2 linked regions of the Bombyx mori genome follow. Each later gene encodes a partner of the first gene's protein in a complex. Links are inferred from orthologs where the notes say so. Each region holds a gene or a part of one and is shown in the gene's direction. Other genes may lie near its edges. The genes, in order: integrator complex subunit 4 and integrator complex subunit 7.

The links.
Region 2: the proteins of integrator complex subunit 4 (region 1) and integrator complex subunit 7 are in contact, whole or in part, in a cryo-EM structure (PDB 8RC4), measured with the Homo sapiens proteins. The link is inferred for Bombyx mori from reciprocal best matches to the Homo sapiens genes INTS4 and INTS7. Residues at the interface, in NP_291025.3 of Homo sapiens: Glu536, Met539, Asp540, Arg571, His572, Ala574, Tyr575, Asp578, Ser579, Ser610, Phe613, Arg620, Leu624, Leu627, Gly631, Glu634, Leu635, Phe638, Arg641, Asp642, Arg645, Leu646, Glu648, Leu649, Gln650, Lys677, Leu678, Trp679, Asn680, Val681; in NP_056249.1 of Homo sapiens: Lys137, Asn138, His140, His141, Arg144, Gln145, Gly175, His205, His206, Asp207, Ala208, Ser244, Ser245, Leu246, Val247, Lys282, Thr283, Pro284, His285, Thr286, Thr321, Ile322, Lys325, His326, Gly686, Tyr689, Glu704, Gln707, Gln708, Leu711.

Annotation. Positions count from the first base shown.
Region 1 is NC_085121.1:12,644,200-12,653,277, reverse strand, and holds part of integrator complex subunit 4, read left to right. Parts: intron 1-35; coding exon 36-241; intron 242-956; coding exon 957-1,079; intron 1,080-1,965; coding exon 1,966-2,101; intron 2,102-3,369; coding exon 3,370-3,507; intron 3,508-3,826; coding exon 3,827-3,983; intron 3,984-5,207; coding exon 5,208-5,351; intron 5,352-6,297; coding exon 6,298-6,518; intron 6,519-6,689; coding exon 6,690-6,832; intron 6,833-8,572; coding exon 8,573-8,792; intron 8,793-9,078. UniProt on the Homo sapiens protein: Component of the integrator complex, a multiprotein complex that terminates RNA polymerase II (Pol II) transcription in the promoter-proximal region of genes.
Region 2 is NC_085129.1:14,668,923-14,678,890, forward strand, and holds the start of integrator complex subunit 7, read left to right. Parts: upstream 1-3,179; 5' UTR 3,180-3,310; coding exon 3,311-3,398; intron 3,399-3,471; coding exon 3,472-3,886; intron 3,887-4,225; coding exon 4,226-4,338; intron 4,339-4,479; coding exon 4,480-4,613; intron 4,614-4,863; coding exon 4,864-5,052; intron 5,053-5,180; coding exon 5,181-5,338; intron 5,339-6,267; coding exon 6,268-6,391; intron 6,392-6,845; coding exon 6,846-7,057; intron 7,058-7,627; coding exon 7,628-7,816; intron 7,817-8,848; coding exon 8,849-8,979; intron 8,980-9,968. UniProt on the Homo sapiens protein: Component of the integrator complex, a multiprotein complex that terminates RNA polymerase II (Pol II) transcription in the promoter-proximal region of genes.

The DNA of each region.
Region 1 (9,078 bases):
TAATAATTTGTTCTAATTGTTCTTTATGTTCCCAGAGGTGCGCACGGCAGCCGTCGAAGCATTGTGTCAACTCTCACTAGAAAACCCGGTGTTCGCGACCACCTCCCTCGACTTTTTGGTGGACATGTTCAATGACGAGATCGAGGAAGTGCGGCTGCGAGCCATCGACGCCCTCACGAGGATCTCGCATCATATCGTACTTAGAGAAGACCTACTGGAGACCATACTAGGAGCCTTGGAGGTCAGTCCCGGAGATACTAGAAGCTGATAATAGTCTATTTGTAATACAGTTGTAGGAGCAGCCGTAGTTAAGCTGCTTCAACTGGCTAGATTGTCTAGGCATTGACTCGGAAGATAGGTAGCACAGAGAAAATGAATATTGTTATGCCTTTTAGGTTACGTATATTGTATATAAGATTGGATTTATGTACAATATAGGTAAATTAGCACATAAGTAACTCTAAATAAACGCAAGTAAAGAAGCATCTCCGAACCTGTTCCGAACAAAAATAGCGTATGATTGGCCTAAAATCATAAGCGACAGCGATTTTACCAAAATTGAAAGGCGGTTGCCCAAGTAGTGGTATGAAGTGGCGGGTAAGTGAGTCGCCACACAGTCCTTGTGATGCTATGAAGCCCGCAAGTCACCCTCCTGCTTGGTTTGTTCAGGAAGAACTCATGCGCTCCGTTTTCATGGATGGTGGAGCAGTGATTAATACAACTGCGACTCTACGACATCTATTACCACTTTTCCCTGATGGCAGAGAGAGAGAGAGAGAGAGAGAGAAGGCGAGAGAAAGAGAGAGAGAAGGCGAGAGAAAGAGAGAGAATGAAAGTTATTTTCTAATTTTTTTCCTAAGTAACTAAACAGAAATCTGCCACCATCAAACTTCACCTCTTTCTACGAAAAAGGGCAATTTAGTTTTTACTGGAAAATAATAGAACTTTGGTTTTAGGATTATTCAATGGACGTCAGGGAAGGTCTACACAGACTGCTGGGCTCGTGTACAGTCGCGTCCAAAACATGCCTGGAGATGTGCATTGATAAAATTCTGGAGAATCTCAAAAGATATCCACAGGTATAGCTATTATTAAATTACTTGATAAGAGTACTAGGGTAATGTTTTGATTATAAACATCAATGTGAAAGAGATGTATGTTTTTGTAGTAGTTCCTTTTAGTGAATGACTGACTTGGCACAGTAGTTAATGCTGAGTGCTGGCTAGAATGTCTTGGGTTCAATTCCCACATCGGGCAAACATTCGTGTGATGGATATGTTTATGTGCCCTTTGTCTGGATGTGTAATATCTAAATATGTATGTATTTAAACGTATACATATAATTTGAGACATGATGGATGAAGGACATATGATAAACTTTGGCAACAAACTTTTGTTAATTGTACTTTTTTTTCGTACATAACTTCATCACATGCAATATCTAAAAATTGCCTTTAATGCCAGGGGTTTTAAGGTCTAATATATTTTATTGTCACATAACACCTTCATTCAATGTTAAAACTCAAAAATCTTAAAAATGGTACTTAACTCATAATCATCCACTCATGTTTTTAAGTATGTATTGTACAAGGTCGCGGTACACGAGGAATGGCGATGTCTTATGAAGCGCTCCACTACCCGAACTGATGACCACGACCACCCAAGAGTGCAAACGACTGAGAAAAAGAATTAGTTTTTTTTATTGCTTAAATGAGTGAACGAGCTCACAGCCCACCTGGTGTTAAGTTGTTACTGGAGCCCATAGACATCTACAACATAAATGCGCCACCCACCTTGAGATATAAGTTCTAAGGTCTCAAGTATAGTTACAACGGCTGCCCCACCCTTCAAACCGAAACGCATTACTGCTTCACGGCAGAAATAGACGGGGTGGTAGTGCCTACCCGTGCGGACCAACAAGAGGTCCTACCACCAGTAAAAAGTGTCCGTTGTGTTATTGTTCAGGATAAGCGTTCGACATTCCGTTGCGTGCAGCGGCTGGGCAGCTCGCACGCGACCCTGGTGCTGCCGCTGACCACGAGGCTGCTGGCCGTGCACCCTTTCTTCGACATGCCTGAGCCAGATGTTGAGGATCCAGCTTGTATCCTTTGAACAATATTAATTTTAGAGACATACAAAATTCCCAATCAGTTCTTTATTTAGTGTTTTTTTTAAGGGATTTTATGACCTGGTAACTAAGACCTTTAGGTCATGTCTTATTTTAATTTATATTCTTATTGTTTTGAAAAATGATAATATGGAGTGAAATAAAATGAAATGAAGATGATTAATTGGAGACATTAATCAACTGGGATGAAATAAAATAAAATGAGATGAGATGATATGGGGTTAATCTCTGTAAAATGGTTGTGATTTACTGAGATTTTTTCAGTGGACTTTTTGGAGGATCCCGAGAAGTTACGTCCAGCGGCTTTGTTTCATTTTCCCACATTTGTGCACTTTTAGATACTAAACAGTTAATAAACCACCGTTATTACACATTTAAACCTGAAAAAAAAAATAGACAAAGTAAAACAAATCACACTACTTCAGTCCTCGCGTTCCCGCCAAAAAGTCTCTTTATTTAGTATTAGTTACTCGAGTGATGCAGTGATTGGTGTGCTTGAAGCTACAATAATGTCGATCGCATGTTTTTTTTTGCCTTAGAAATAGACAGAAAGCTGGTATCCCTCTGTGCAGGTTCGCAGCAACTTAACGCATGTTTTCTATATTACCATCATATATACTAATTTTTACAAAGCTGGTTGTAATGTAAAAAAAAAAAAATTAGGTTAGTTTACATAGGTTAGAACTGGGGTTCCCAAACTTATTTTGTCTACTGCCCTTTGCCTACTTTGAGAATAAATTATTCTTTAGCGCCCCCATTTTTTCACATACCTAAAAACCTCTATAGTGAAAGTTTAGTCGGTGTATAAGAGTCCTCTTAGATGAAATTACAAATCGCCTCTCAAGCTTCTGCACAACGCTCCCATTTTTTTCTGGATCTGTTACCGCTCCCCTTTAGGCCTGCAGCGCCCACAGGGGGGCGTTATCGTCAACTTTAGGAAAGGCTAGGTAAAAGGAAGGGCATAATTTCCTGATACAAAGCATGGCTCAAGTATACTATTGTACTACACGATTCTGTTTTCGAATGAAATAAACCAATTATTATGATCAAAGTCACACACACAAATCGACAAATTCTAAATTTTGAAACAAAAATGATGATGACAGTACTTATGTTGTGTATTGAATAGTGTTTTAATGACAGATTGTATAATTTGAATTTAAAAAAAAAAGGAACCTTAATAGCTGTATGTTTAAGATAGTTTTCGCTTGAAGCTAATATCCTTAACTAGTCCATAATAGATATGTGCGTTTTGATCCTGGTGTTGAACGCGGCGCAGCACTGCACCACCATGCTGCCGCTGTTCGAGGAGCACACCATCAAGCATTACACGTATCTGCGGGACACCATGCCTCATCTCGTGCCGCATCTGCCCATCGGTTAGTCATACACACGATACACGAGCCTTTCGAGGAGTCACGAGGATTACGGTGGTAGGACGTGTGGTGCTATGAAATTTTATTAATTAGGCCTTTTGAGGTTATACAGATGTTTTTTTTTTGCTTAGATGGGTGGACGAGCTCACAGCCCACCTGGTGTTAAGTGGTTATTGGAGCCCATAGACATCCACAACGTAAATGTATGTAGGTCCTACCACCAGTAAAAAAGCGATACTCACGTTGTGATGTTTATAGACTTCGGTAACTACTTAACACCAATCTTAATCATATTTACTTATATATCACTGATGTACTTTAGGCGAACAGCAATCAAGCGCGGAGAAGATAGAGGCTGCGATGGACGACAGCGCCGTGAGACGGTTCTTCGACTGCGTGCTGCAGCACATCGACAACGGGACCCTCTCCACCGCCGTGAGGCTGAACATGCTGCGCTCGGCCGAGGAACAACTTAACAAGTAATCAATGGTTTATACACAATACACGGGAAAGTGCTTTAAAGCGGTTTAACGCTTCTCTACTTTAACAAGTAATCAATGGCTTATACACAATACACGGGAAAGCGCTTTAAAGCGGTTTAACGCTTCTCTACTTTAACAAGTAATCAATGGCTTATACATAATACACGGGAAAGCGCTTTAAAGCGGTTTAACGCTTCTCTACTTTAACAAGTAATCAATGGCTTATACACATTACACGGGAAAGCGCTTTAAAGCGGTTTAACGCTTCTCTACTTTAACAAGTAATCAATGGCTTATACATAATACACGGGAAAGCGGTTTAACGCTTCTCTACTTTAACAAGTAATCAATGGCTTATACACAATACACGGGAAAGCGCTTTAAAGCGGTTTAACGCTTCTCTACTTTAACAAGTAATCAATGGCTTATACACAATACACGGGAAAGCGCTTTAAAGCGGTTTAACGCTTCTCTACTTTAACAAGTAATCAATGGCTTATACACATTACACGGGAAAGCGCTTTAAAGCGGTTTAACGCTTCTCTACTTTAACAAATAATCAATGGCATATACACAATACACGGGAAAGCGCTTTGAAGCTTTAAATCATGTTAAATATTCCCAATAATGGCGGTTTTGCGCCCATGTATATTTATCTAATGTATAAAATTCACCTGTCATCAACATCTATTTTTCATGCCCTTAAATGTTAAGGTTAAAGCCCTGAGAAGGGGAAATTTGAATTGAGGAGTGGGGAAAGGAAATCATTAAAGTGGAAATACTGTCGGCTATAGATGTTTTACAGACTTTTTGGCGGTAACGCGAGGAGTGAAGTTGTGTGATTTGTTTTATTTTGTCTATTTACTGTTTCTTCAGTTTTCAATGTGTAATAACTGTGGTTTATTAACTATTTAGTATCTGTGCACATATGTGGGAAAATAAAATAAAGCCTTTGGACGTAACTTCTCGGGATCTTACAAAAAGTCCACTGAAAAAGTCTCAGTAAATGACCACCATTTTACTGAGATTATATTACATCTCATTTCATTTCATTTCATCCCAGTTGATTAATGTCTCAAATTAATCATTCATTTCATTTCGTCATTTTTCATAAAAGTAAGAATATAAATTAAAATAAGACATGACCTTAAAGGTCCTAGTTACCAGGTCAAAAAATTACTTTAAAAAAAATAGATGTTTTACATTGCAAATTGTTGTCAGGTTGTCGGAGATGGAGCCGGCGGTGTGCGGCGCGGCGCAGCGGACGGCACTGTTCGCGCGCTGCGTGCGGGCGCTGCATGACGCGCTGCAGTGCGCCGCGCCGCCGCAGCACGCGCTGCGCTCCCTGCACGCAGACTGTCTCCGGTCGGTAGCCTCCATCATTACATAAAACGTAAAACGATAGTACGCACGTGCACGTGTAAAATCTGTTGTGCTAAATAATAATAATAAAAAAATACACATATACTAGTCAGGTAGACAGCGGTTTGGCTCTGCCCTTGGGATTGCTGACGTCATTGAGCGATGCTAACCGCTTACGCATTAGGTGGGCCGTATGCTCGTATGCCGTATATAACCAATGTTAAATATTTTGGGTTTGTTTTGTTACTTTCAAAGGAATTATAAAAACTTTCGATCCTATATATACCTAAATTGTTCAATCAATTTCGAAATATAAATACCAATTATTCGAAATATTAACGATACGGAGGGTTATCTTTCAAATTTACGGATACAAGTCGAGCATCAATAAAAATATAGTACATTGCGTGTAAAATTGCGACTGGCAAACACGTGGGATGAGATGGCCTACTTTTCTCCCGCGGAACATATACAATTTTTTCTCCTACCAGCCCGAAAGCTCGTGGAGTACCGAGCCGGGGTCCAGGGGCGAAGGCCTGGCGGTCTGTAGGGGGGGGCAGCCCCCCCCCCATACCCATAAAAAAACATTTAACTGTTGTTTAATTTTGAAATAAACTACTACTAATTGAATAAGAACTGTCTGATGAACTGATGAATGATTCATTTTTGTTTAATACTTCACTTTAAAATTTTATTGCCTTTTGTTTATTTCACTTTTACACTAAACACAATATTGCAAATTACCCGAGCACAACAATGGCGGAGAATTTTAGGTGTGTGAGAGCAGACGTAAACACTAACGCGCATGCGCACTTGTCACTGCCCAGGGAGGAAAAGTTCCACTTTCTTCCCTGTACAGCGGGAGGAAAAGTTAGACTTTCTTCCCTGTACAGCGGGAGAAAAACCGAACTTTCGGCATAAATAGGAGAAAAAAAATTACATTCTACAGGCTTCAACATCAGTTTAGCGGGATGTCCGAACAGGACAATGCGTGCGTTTGGCAGCTGGCGCTGCGAGTGTGCGCCGCCCGCCTGTGCGCCGCCGTGCAGCAGAGCGCGGCTGGCAACACTAGCGGCGGGGTCGCTGCAGCTGGCAACACCGCCGCGCTGTCGGCCGTCGCAGCTCTCACGCACCACGCCGAAGTGTTGGACAGAATGCTGGCTTCCGCAGGTAAATTCAATAAGACTTCATAGATTACGGTATTTCAGTAAATAGAACGGCCGGCGTGAACAGGGAACATACAAGACAGTCAACGCGTTAAATGGCATCGGTGCAATGTCTTCAAACTGGACTGTCACAGCTTTAGAGAGCGTATTGAAGTTTGACCGTTGTATTGTCCAGGTGTAGAGCCGGATCCGTTCACGATAGCAGTGTTCCGTCAGCTGTCGATGAACGCGGACAACAAGCCGGCCGCGCTGGCGAGGAGCATCCACCCGCTCCTACTGTCCGCGCCGCTGCCGGTCATACCCAAACCTAACCTTAAGGTACGCTCAGACAATCGCTGGTAGTTTTCCAATTACAGAGCATAATGCGACTCAGTGACGCACAATGCCGAATTACGCTGAAGCTTAATTGGAACGTGAATTAGTTTTCAAATGCATCAGCAGAGTGCGCTAAGTTAGCACAGTTTTAATTAACATTGATTATTTCTAAGAAACTACGACGAAACGAAAGCCTTACCATTTTTTTCAACATTAAATAATATTACTAACGATATTAAAAACAAAATTTCGATCAATGCCAACTTAAAGAAAAAACACTTGTCAATTTTCTGTCACTGAGTCGGTATCGATTGCGAGTATCACGCGAGGGCAGTACTTTTGAGAGCGCTCGATTGTGCGAAGCGTCGCTGTAGTTGGAACATTCAACGTTGAGCATTATGCCGCATAATGCGCTCTTGTGCTGTAATTGGAAAACTACCATTGTGTGCTATCATAAGACGGGCCGCGTACAAACGTGACACTGAAATAGTTAAAGTTCGAAATACGTTTTTGTTGGATGCTTGGGTTTCTTAAATAAAAATTCCAAATCGATCTCTACCTATTTCTGCCGTGAAGCAGCAATGCGAGGGTGGGGCAACCGTTCTAACTATACTTGAGACCTTAGAACTTTTATCTCGAGGTGGGTGGCGCGTTTACGTCGTAGATGTCTATGGGCTCCAGTAACCACTTAACACCAGGTGCGCTGTGAGTTCTTCCATCCATCTAAGAAATTTGTATTTTCTGTATACAAGTTTTTTCTTAATTTTTATGTTGCGAGCAAGTTAGCTTGGCACGACGATTTGTTAAAGTGTAATTGGTGTAGGTAAACATAAAATTTTCAATATTGCTCCTTAAATTTTAGTTTAGGCGTTAACAGTTTTCATTGAAGTGGCTATTGTAAATTCGCTACATGATTCATCCATATTATTAGGAACCGCTGCGTTCATCGACAATGCGTTTCTAAATTTTTTGGAATAAACTACCCTCCAAGGTGTATCCCGAGCGCTACGACATGTCCTTCTTCAAACGAGGCTTGCGGAGACAGCACTTAATGGTAGGCAGCGGCTTGACTGCCCCTGGCATTGCTGATGTCCATGAGCGACGGTAACCGCTTACCATCAGTTGGACGGTATGCTCGTCTGCCTACAAAACAACATACAAGTTTAGGGGCATACGCTACAAAATGTCGGTAGTTTCCATACAGAAAAAATATTTGTCTTAAAGTATCGCAGTTTCAGGGCTACTTCTAATCTGTAGCTAAACGATCTGTAACTTAAATGTGGACTTTTTGGCGGGAACGCGAGAAGTGAAGTTGTGTGATTTGCTTTATTTTGTCTATTTAGTGTTTCTTCAGGTTTAAATGTGTAATAATGGTGGTTTATTAACTGTTTAGTATCTGTGAAGGTGCACAAATGTGGGAAATAGAAAAAAATCCGCTGCATCTAACTTCTCGGGATCCTCCAAAAAGTCCACTGAAAGAGTCTCAGTAAATGACCACCATTTTACTGAGATTATAATATTTCATCCCATGTCATCTCATCACATTTCATTACATTTCGTTTTCATTTCACTTCGTTTCGATTTCATTTCGTATTATCATTCTTCAAAAAAGTATTCATTAAAATTAAAATAAGATTTGACTTAAAGGTCTTAGTTACCAGGTCATAAAATCCCTTAAAAAAAACTTCAGTGTGTGTTATCTTCTTTCTTGGTTGAGCTCTGTAAATCGATTATCTGTTTAAGATCGTGATGTGCAAAGCTAGCATAGTGGAGCCGGCCGCCGACAACGACTTGGTGGTGCGGTTCAGCGCGGGGCTCGTGGCCGGCGTGGCGCTGGAGGCCGAGGTGACGCGCGTGCGCTGTGCGGACGCGCTGCGCGTGCGCGTGGCCTACCCGGACCGCCGGGTGCACGCGCTGCTGCCGCCCCGGGACCACCTCCGGCCGCTCGACCATCACGACCAAAGTAAACATCTCATAGATAACACGGGTCAACACCAAATTTGACTTTGCGAAGCATAAAATTTCGATATTTTAGATAGTAATTAGGCGAAAAAAAAATACATGGCATGAAACAGTTTGCTTTTGAACTTTAATAAATTAACCACATATGAAACAAAATGCATCAGCATCGTATTTACACTTTTGTGACATTTTAAGTTTTTCTGGGCTTGTACAAAACACCTGATCGTTGTTTATTACTCGAGTGCCATCTAGTGGCACTGTGTAAACACCCCACTCTCATAGCGCGG
Region 2 (9,968 bases), on another chromosome or scaffold:
TAAACAAAACGTTAAGAATAATGAAAAAATAAAAAAAATATCATTAATGGTCTACGATTTATACTACCTACACTGCGATTAATAGAACTAGATTAAAAAAATATATGTTTTTACTATTGTTGTGCATGTGTACAACAATAGTAAAAACAATGTGCACAACTATATGCATGTGCACCTGCACGTGCGGTCGATTTATACAGTCGAAATAGGCGAATACCTGCGTAGGTAACTAGTAGCCTAATAGATAAAACTCCGGATAAAATATATTTGTTTGATCACATAGAAAATGTTGGGTACACGTAATTTCTTACTAGAAACTTCGACTTGGTATATGTTGGTCGATATCTATGTAAAAGTTAACTCAAATTTGTATGGAGTTGAAACAGCGCCCCTAGCGGCAAACATAATTAAACGTTCCAACTCCATACAAATTTGAGTTGACTTTTACGCTATCGAGAACGTCAAAAAACTCGCACGGAGCACTCAGTTGATCCAAAACCCTGGCACATACACTTATGGCAAATGGTAAAAAAAAAGCGCGCCAAATATACCTAATCCTCATAATACATTTAGGAGTTTGTCGTCGCAATAAAACCACAAAAACGTACATTATATTTTATTTATCCTTAAAAATTAGTCTAAATCAGACAATTGTGGGCCAACTGATCCCATTGGCGTCCAGCATCAATTACTAAACGAAAAAAAAGGTTCTCCTTCAAAATAACTCTGTCAAAATAACGCACTGTTCACACCGGAAGGATTAAAAGATAATCATACAAAAGAAAAAGGAAAGAAAGGTTAACATGTAGATATGATTCTTTAAAGTTTCTCTTCGTTTTGGTTAGAACAGCAAGAATTATATTTGCATAATATCTTTTAGAACAGTTTATTTAAAAAAATCCTTTATTCTAGTATCTCAACATTGCCAGGGCAATGAATGAACGGTAGGATTATCTGTCAGCCCTTCAAACGACTCTGACTCGAAGTACTTCTAATACCACCTTAGATAATAAAAGGTACGGTGTCCTAAATTTACATGTTTATTTGAAATTTAAAACTAAGCCTCTGTATCAAATAACATATAGGCACCTATATGTTTGTTTCATGGTAATCTAACTCCGGCATTATTGTGGTGATCCCGTGTCATTAGACGCCATCGAGGTAGGTTCCCGCCATTTTCGGATAATTTTCGCGCTCCAGCTAGGGCTGTTAAATAAATTAAAATTAAATTTTAAAATCATATTAATTTAGTTTACGTGAAGAGAAGGCATTCTTCGATGTGATCTCTAATACGAGATGCATAGATTCACCGGCTAGAGGGCAAATTATGACATCACACGGGTAAATAGCACCCATGTGCCTATAATAGATATTACGGTCTCATACAATCCATACGTTCGTTTGAAGGGCAAGATAGCAATTTTACAATACAATTTAGACATCAACCTAATATCCCAGTCCTTTGTGATGTCTATAAGCTGCACTTTTAACGAAACGTAGTTTTAGCGGGTCGCGATTTCGTTCCGGTAGTTGATCCACTCGCGAATCAGCTACCATTTAAATAACGTAAGTAGACCTAATTAGAACAACCTAATTAACTTTATTACCAATTCTAGTAAAAAACAAAGCGAACAACCCTACGATAAATGATGACATCCAACTCTGGTATTGTTACTGGAACTGTAATTACCTTTGTGAGTTGATCCCGGTGCCCGGTAAACGTTGTTTAGTCGAGCTAGTACTAGATTTAGTGGCTCAAATTAAATGACCTCTATTTACCTTCCTAAATTGTAATTTTGTGATATTTATAAATAGACAGCACATTTGCATGAATTAAACTTTGTGTTATCGATCTTTAATTTTTAAAACGGTAATATTCAAAATCTGGTAACCAATTTTCGTTTCAGTGATACATATTAAATCCAATTTCTAACTAATGATGGCAGTATTCTAAGCGGCAATATAAATGTAAATATATCAAGACATAAAATACCCGAAAAGCGGAGTTTTCTCGTTAAATATAATTGAATATTTACAGACCATAGTATTTCAGTACCTGTAAACTAAAAACAAGGACCATACTGACATCTGTTGTCAGTTGCCAATGTACTTTAAAACTCTAGTTTTTATGTTTATTGACCCATAATGGGCGATAGATGTCGCTCAAAACAAAAAAGAAGTTTTGTTTACAATTTTTTCCCTGTTGAAAAATCAGCCGTACGTACTTGTGTACATTTATTAAATATTTTCTATGCGAATTATGGATATTTTACCCCTAACTTATTGGCCAAACTATAATCAGTCTATTTCGACTTTTTAGCGGGAACGTGAGGAGTGAAGTTGTGTGATATTTTGTTTTATTTTGTCTATTTAGTTTTTCTTCAGGTTTAAATGTATAATAACGGTGATTTATTAACTGTTTAATATCTGTGACAGTGCACAAATGTGGGAAAATGAAACAAAGCCGCTGGACGTAACTTCTCGGGATCCTCCAAAAAGTCTGAAAGAATCTCAGTGAATGACCACTATTTTACTGAGATTATATTTCATCCCATATCATTTCATCTCATTTCCTTTCATTTCATCCCAGTTGATTGATGCCTCAAATTAATCATCTTCATTTCATTTCACTTCATATTATCAATTATATGCTTCAGAATCCCAAACAGACAAATACGGTGATGATATAAAGATCGCGGTACCAGACCATAAAATGTACAAAAAAATAGGACCATCACGAAGAAATACATCGATGTTTCACGCCAAACAAATGTTTTGAATGTATCGATTAGAAACATAAATATAATAATATTATATAATAATGTAATGTATTGTGTTTATTAAATAAATATGGTTATGATAGTAAAAGAGAAAAGAAAGAGAAAATCATTTGTTTGAATCAAATCATTTTTTAGGTTTTTACTAAGATAGTTTTTAAATGTGCGAAATTTATCTATTCGGAAACTGAATGGGTAGTTTTCAACTATTACAATGAAGGCAATCAAACGTTGAAAGAATGCGAATTTGGCATTGTAATCTAAATTGTAATGAAATATGTATTTGTATTAGTGACACTATGATTGTAATTGAATTGATGCGATGAATCGAGTAATGAGATTTGTGGCACGCAAAGGATCGATTAAAAGTAAATCAACATTCGACAACACTATTGTAGACATTAGGTCCATAGATTAGGTATACACCTTAGGTAGATAATACACGACTCTATGATACACGACGTTGGGTGTTTACATAAACAATCAAAACAAAATAAATTAAAATTATTCTTATTAAATAACCTAAACGGATAATGATTGGTGTTAAAATGAATACATTCAACGACAATTCGGCGGAGCCTGAACAAGATGCAAATTCAGCATTGACCGAGCTCGATAAAGGTAAATATAACCTCTACTAATACCTAGAAAACTTTTATTTAAAAAACAAAATAAAAAATGTTTTTTTCTCCAGGCCTACGGTCGTGCAAAGTAGGAGAGCAATGTGAAGCCATCGTCCGGTTCCCTCGTCTTTTCGAAAAATATCCTTTCCCTATATTAATTAATTCATCTTTTCTTAAATTGTCTGACGTTTTTCGTATGGGTAACAATTTTTTGAGACTCTGGGTTTTGAGAGTCTGTCAACAAAGCGAAAAGCACCTAGATAAGATTCTGAACGTAGACGAGTTCTTAAGGAGGATCTTTAGTGTTCTACACTCAAACGATCCGGTGGCTAGGGCTCTCGCTCTGAGAACGCTTGGTGCAGTAGCAGGTATTATCCCAGAGCGCCAGAATGTACATCACGCAATCCGAAGGGGCTTGGATAGCCATGACAATGTTGAAGTTGATGCTGCTATATATGCTACTACTAGATTTGCTGCCCACTCCAAGTAAGTGCCGTCATAAGCTGCAAAAACTGTCATTGAGGCAAAAATTTAATCTGTTAACCAAATAGGTACTTAATAAAAAGTATCCAATGCATCCAATGCAATGGTAGGCAGCGGTTTGGCTCAGCCCCTGGCATTGCTGAAGTCCATGGGCGACGGTAACCGCTCACCATCAGGTGGGCCGTATGCCCGTCTGCCTACAAAGGCAATAAAAAAAAAAAAATCCAAACCATAACTAAGTATTACTAATTACCAGAAGTATAAACTGCTTATTTAATTGTCTCTCAAACTTTTAAATGCATATTTTGTACTTGTATTTTCTCATATTGTGATGTGTTTTAGTTCATTCGCAGTAGCCATGTGCAATAAGCTATCAGATATGGTGGAAAGTGAGGGCACTGCTGCTGAGAGACGAGCAAAACTTGTCAGAGCCCTGAGGACCGTTCATGGTGGAGGTAATCAGGAATTTTACTAGTTACCTACCTTTATTCAAATTAATTTCTTTATTCTTAAACATGTATAAAAATAAAGTTGATAAACCAACCACCTAATAAGTAATTTAGAATTACACTTAACCTTTTTTTTTTGTTTTCTAGCAATCAGAGCACAAGGAGTTTTGAAATTATTGAGATCATTGTTAGACAAGTTTCCTTCGTCAAGTTCGGTGCGAGCTTCAATCACTGCACTCACACATATAGCTTCAGATACAGTGGTTCATGTTCCTGATCAGGTAAGAATGATTCATTATATGATTATAAAAAGTCACTGCAGAAGCACAAAGTGAAGCCCTGATCAGACGTGGTTACCATAACTTATAGGCTTAGCAATGTTTAGTGCAGTATCAAATCACTGCTTAAGGAGTCATTTTAAAGCTCATAAGAAGAAAGATGCATTCATAGTGTTCGGACTACAATCAAGCTTATTACTTCACTATAACATTACTAGGTCTATTAAAAACTTCAGTGCTTTTAATGTTATAGGTTGAACTACTGCTAAATATAGCCATGAATGACGCCCGATCAGCCGTACGTCGTTCCGCACTGCTTGGCCTCAAGAAGTTGGCTGAGAATGCAGCTCTCTGGCCCGCACACTGTATACAGAACCTGGTCAGAGCCGCTAGCGATAGTCGAGACACTGACCACACTATGCTGTGCCTTCGAGTAATGCAGGTAATAACAATAAGATATCTCACTGTGCTTTATTTAATTGAAAAAAGGACTCACTTAAAAGTATTAATTATAATTGGTAAAATGCATGTTTTTATTCAAGGAGATTACATGACAATTTATCCTTCTAGATTCTGGTGCAGTGCCCAGCAGTGTGCGCCACGGCAGGGTGTCCTCAGCGCGGCGAGTACAGTGCCCTGAGGCAGTACTGCAGTGAAGCCGCTCTCAGTGCTGACTTGAAGCAAGCCGCAACCGCTGCGGATGTCCTCACCAGGATCGTTGTTCATTGGTGACTATTCATAATTTTTTTTATTGCTTTAAATCGGTGAACGAGCTCACGGCCCACGTCTATAGAGAAATCTACAACGTAAATGCCGCCACCCACCTTGAGACATGAGTTTGATGCATTCAAACCGAAACGCATTACTGCTTCACGGCAGAAATAGGCAGGGTGGTGGTACCTACCCATATGGACTTACAAGACATCCTGCCACCTGTTAAAATGTATAATGACTAGCATCTTCCAGGTCATCTCTTAGGCTCTTGGTTACTAAACGAGGGCATAAATAAACAAATCTGTTTACTTTGTTGAGATATGGCTGTATGGAACCTATTATCGTACAAAGTTAAATATCACTAATATACCTTGAACTACTATTACCTTGAAATCTCAATTTCAATATACATATTAGAAAAACATTTTGTGATCTGTGATATAAAAATTATTGCTAGTGCCCGAAATTTAACAACAAAATATACCTTTCAGTACCTATTCTCTAAAGCCAAAAGGAAAACTCATATACACATACTATTTTTGTGGATCACATGACTGAACAAGGATAGCAAACATAAATGTCATCTGATACTTTTAACTGTCCCATAAAAAAACATTATAAATACACTTGTAATTGAAAATTTGGTTGCACTTAAAGAAGCTATAAGTATTTTAATTCAATGCGTGAACAAATAAAGCACTAGTTTTTAAAGGCCCTTTTTGTTATCAGGCAACATTTACATATTACCATTCTATAAAAAAAAAAAATGCTAACGGGTGATGGAGCAATTTATCTTACTCTAGTAACTTTCATAATAAAATATATCTTTGCACAAGCTTTTGTATTTCACATGGACTTTTGTAACATCAAAAACAAATATTGACTGCAACATACACCATGTCAGGCTGTCTGTCAGCATTCAGCATTTTTTAATGTCTTGTAGCTATGAAGAATGTCTTCCGGTGGAAGGTTCAGATCTGATGCTGGCTCTGGAGTCCCTGGTGATAGCGGCAGGGGCTGATAATGGGCAGAATATAAAGTCACTCAGGGTTGCGCTTAGGTGTTTGGTAAGTCATAAATGAGAAAGAAAGGTGTTCGACAATTATATCTCTGATTAAATACGCACCCTTCAACTCTACATCACGATCACGATCATTCTGTCAAGAGTGACATGATTGAGAAGAATATTGAATCAGCTGTAAATTTTTTTTAAAAATACCCTCGAAAAATTGAAATTTCTTCTAACACACATTAATGTTAAAAGATTGAAAGAAGTTATAAAAAAAAGCAAAGACAAAGTTTTTTTTTCTGTTAATACATAATTTTTTTTTAATCCTCATTAAAAAATTCACAACCTACCCTTGAGTGATCAGTGGTCAGATTACAATCATAATTGTCTGTTTTAACTTCATCCACACGATATATTAAAAACAACCTGAACACAAACGTGGATTGGTTAAGTTGATTGAGACATAATAGTCACGAGGTCAAGATAAAACTTGAACGGTAACCCATTGCCAGGTCCAGCTGAGCACTGCAGAACCCACAGTTTACGCTCCACGGACGGCATCGGTGCTTGCTGGACAACTGGCTACCAGTAGCTGGGCCAACCCTGGCCCGAGGGAGGCCTCGATCCTGGAAGCCCTGGGCGCGTTAGGTGGTGGAACCTACTGTCCCATGTCGGTGGCACCAGCGTTGCCCGCACTGCATCAAGCGTTGGAAGCCATGCAGAGGTAAACAAAATACTTTAAATTTCAAATCAAACCCTTAAATTAGTAGTGACTTTTAAAATAGGGTTAATTCGTGAAATTAATTAAACAAGTACAATTCACAAATGTAGATTAAGTAAAAATAAAAAGTAAAAGATCTACATTTCTAAAATATATATTTTTTTTTGTATCATCTGTTAAAAATGACCGATTCAGTTCTAGTTTAGACGGCACTGAGAGAAAGAAATCTTTCTGTTTGTTCAAATCTGTTTAATACGTCACTACATTATCAATAAATACGTAATGATATTGAGTTGTTTACATTGCTGCTGAAAATTCAGTACTCAATTCGGTGTGTGATGACGTCCAACTCTAAGTCTCAATTCGATGCATTTATTCAGAGTATTTTAACGACGAAAGGAAAAACAAAACTACGCTACAAACACGTGTAAATATAATGTGACCATTTTTGATTCAACAATGAACTACGCATTGATAATCTGGTTGCAATTGGCGATTAAAATCTGACGGTATTTTGTCACGGAGCTTCGAACGGCTGTCGCTGTGTTGACAAATACGCGTTATTCTTTACAGAGAAAATGCGATAGCAAATCCGTCAGACGAAGGTAACGCTCTGGTGCTTCTCTGCACGGTGCTTTTCCAAGAACGGGCCGGGAAAGCGTTGACCTTTACCATCAGCAACGACTGGTGCACGAAGATCTTGGACGCGGTCCAAGTGGCTGACGGTTGGGTGCGATACAGAGTCGCCAGGGCCGCCTTGAGGTGAGAGCATAATATGGTCTGTTGATGTAGACCTTGAAACAGAATAACTTAACAGTCGTCCTTACATTTTCATCACGTATAATTAGATCAGTTATTTTTTTTACAAGTCAATGTCGGTTAGCATATTGTAAAACAAACAGTAAAAACGTATATAATATTCTTGTGCCATACTTAAAAAAAAACTGTTACAAAATAAAGATTATAAAATGGCTTGTTCGCGACATCAAATTAAAAATTCGTCGCTTTTGTTTCACTACGAATGATAGATTTCATTATTTAAAAAAATATTCAACAACGCGTTGCTCTGTCAACAGTGCCTGACAGTGTAGGATTACAAAATGGCGCATAAAATATTTTGTAATCCTACCCTGTCAACCGTATTTTTTTTTATATTTTTTTGTAATTCCCAACAATTAACCTCACAGAAGACGGCAAATTTAAATCAAGCGTAATTTTGAGGACACCTTTTATAGCTAAGCATGGCAAAGGCGTTATTGGTACTATTTAACTAAAACAAATTTGAATTTATGTTATCTGCATAAGGTTGATTTTGGTTCGAGCAAACAGCACGAATCAAGTGTGCTTATAGTGTGCAGCACATATTGCTTAGTGCGAGTTTTTTAAGGTTCTCGATAGCGTAAAAATTAACTCAAATTTGTATTGAGTTGAACAGTGCCCCTAGCGGCAAACGAGAAGTTCAAAAACACGCACGAAGCACATAGGTGAATCGGAAATACGTATCGAGCCAGAGGTCTTGTGAATTGCTCTTGAGTTGTTAGGTCTCCTTCGGAGGCGCTCGGACAGCTGTTAGCAAATCCCACTCCTCCTGGCTGAGCCTTTGCTCGCCCACATGTCCTGGTGAAACTGGAAAGGCCTCTGGGCTACCAGTAATCTTTCAATCATAAAAAAGGCCTTGTGATATCACTATCTTGCGTGTTTCTATCGCATAACAATCGAGAAAGACTGCCTTAAATTACTTTAACTCCTCCCGCAACCTCATGGGATGACACGCTCAAGATGTTTGTTCCGAAGGTACGGGCATCACCACCTGGCCGCGGAGCTGCTGGTCCGGCTGGCGGCGCAGGCCCCCAGCGAGGCGGCTCAGCGCTGGCTGGCGGCGCTGCACCGGGCCGCCGCCGCCGACGCCAAGCTCGCCATCGACGGTAACGAGCTTATGTATATTATCCGTACACGCAGACAACTAGCGGACTAAATTAGCAAGGAGTCTACGTGAAATTCATATACAACATGTAACATATTTAACGCACACCCTCAAACACCCCAATTAGACTTTAATAGTATAAACGCTATGCATACACCAAATATTATTTATATGTGCGTTAACATTGATTATTTGTGAAATTAGTTATTCCCATTTCGTGGAAATAAAATGGTCACCGATTCACACTCCGCTGCGCACGCACACACAGACACCTACTCGCCGCGCCCCTTGCTCAATGCACTTTAATGACCGTTTTCGTATTTGTTGTTTTATTTTAGATAATACTGCAATGTCACTTTTCACTTTATCAAAGGCGGTTATTATCTTATTCTTTAGTTCTTCGGCACTTATTGTCTTTGTGTTATAAACTAGCGATTTAATTCGCCCCCACAAAAAAAAGTCGAGAGGTGTCAAATCAGCTGATCTAGGAGGTCACTGACCGAAAAGACATAGCGAAATACGGGAGATATTTTATTTGCACTATCACTTGACCTCTTATCGATAAGGTGGACGCGGCGTGACTGACTTGTCAAAAATATTTTGTTGACTTCGTTGTTTAGATTTTTCTTTGATCACCGCCGACGCAACCGCGTCGCCGCGAACATCGGGATTAGCCTGCCGTTTATTGTAAGAATATTATGCCGACGAAAGAAAGGGATAGTAATTATTTTTGTATTACGTGGTTTTCTTTTATGTATTGTAGTGTTGCTGTGTGCCGGCGGTTGGTATTGTGTGCGTAGGTATTTTATTTTGTAATAGACTATTAGCCTTGAAATAAGTATCAGATTTCTTTAATTAAATAATATTTTTTTTTACTAATTAGATATTTCATTTTAAAAAGTCTTAATACCCTGACTTACGTTCCATTTTCGTTTCTATGAACTGTTTAGCTAGCTGTGTAGGGTGACTGTAATTTACTTAGTTTTAACT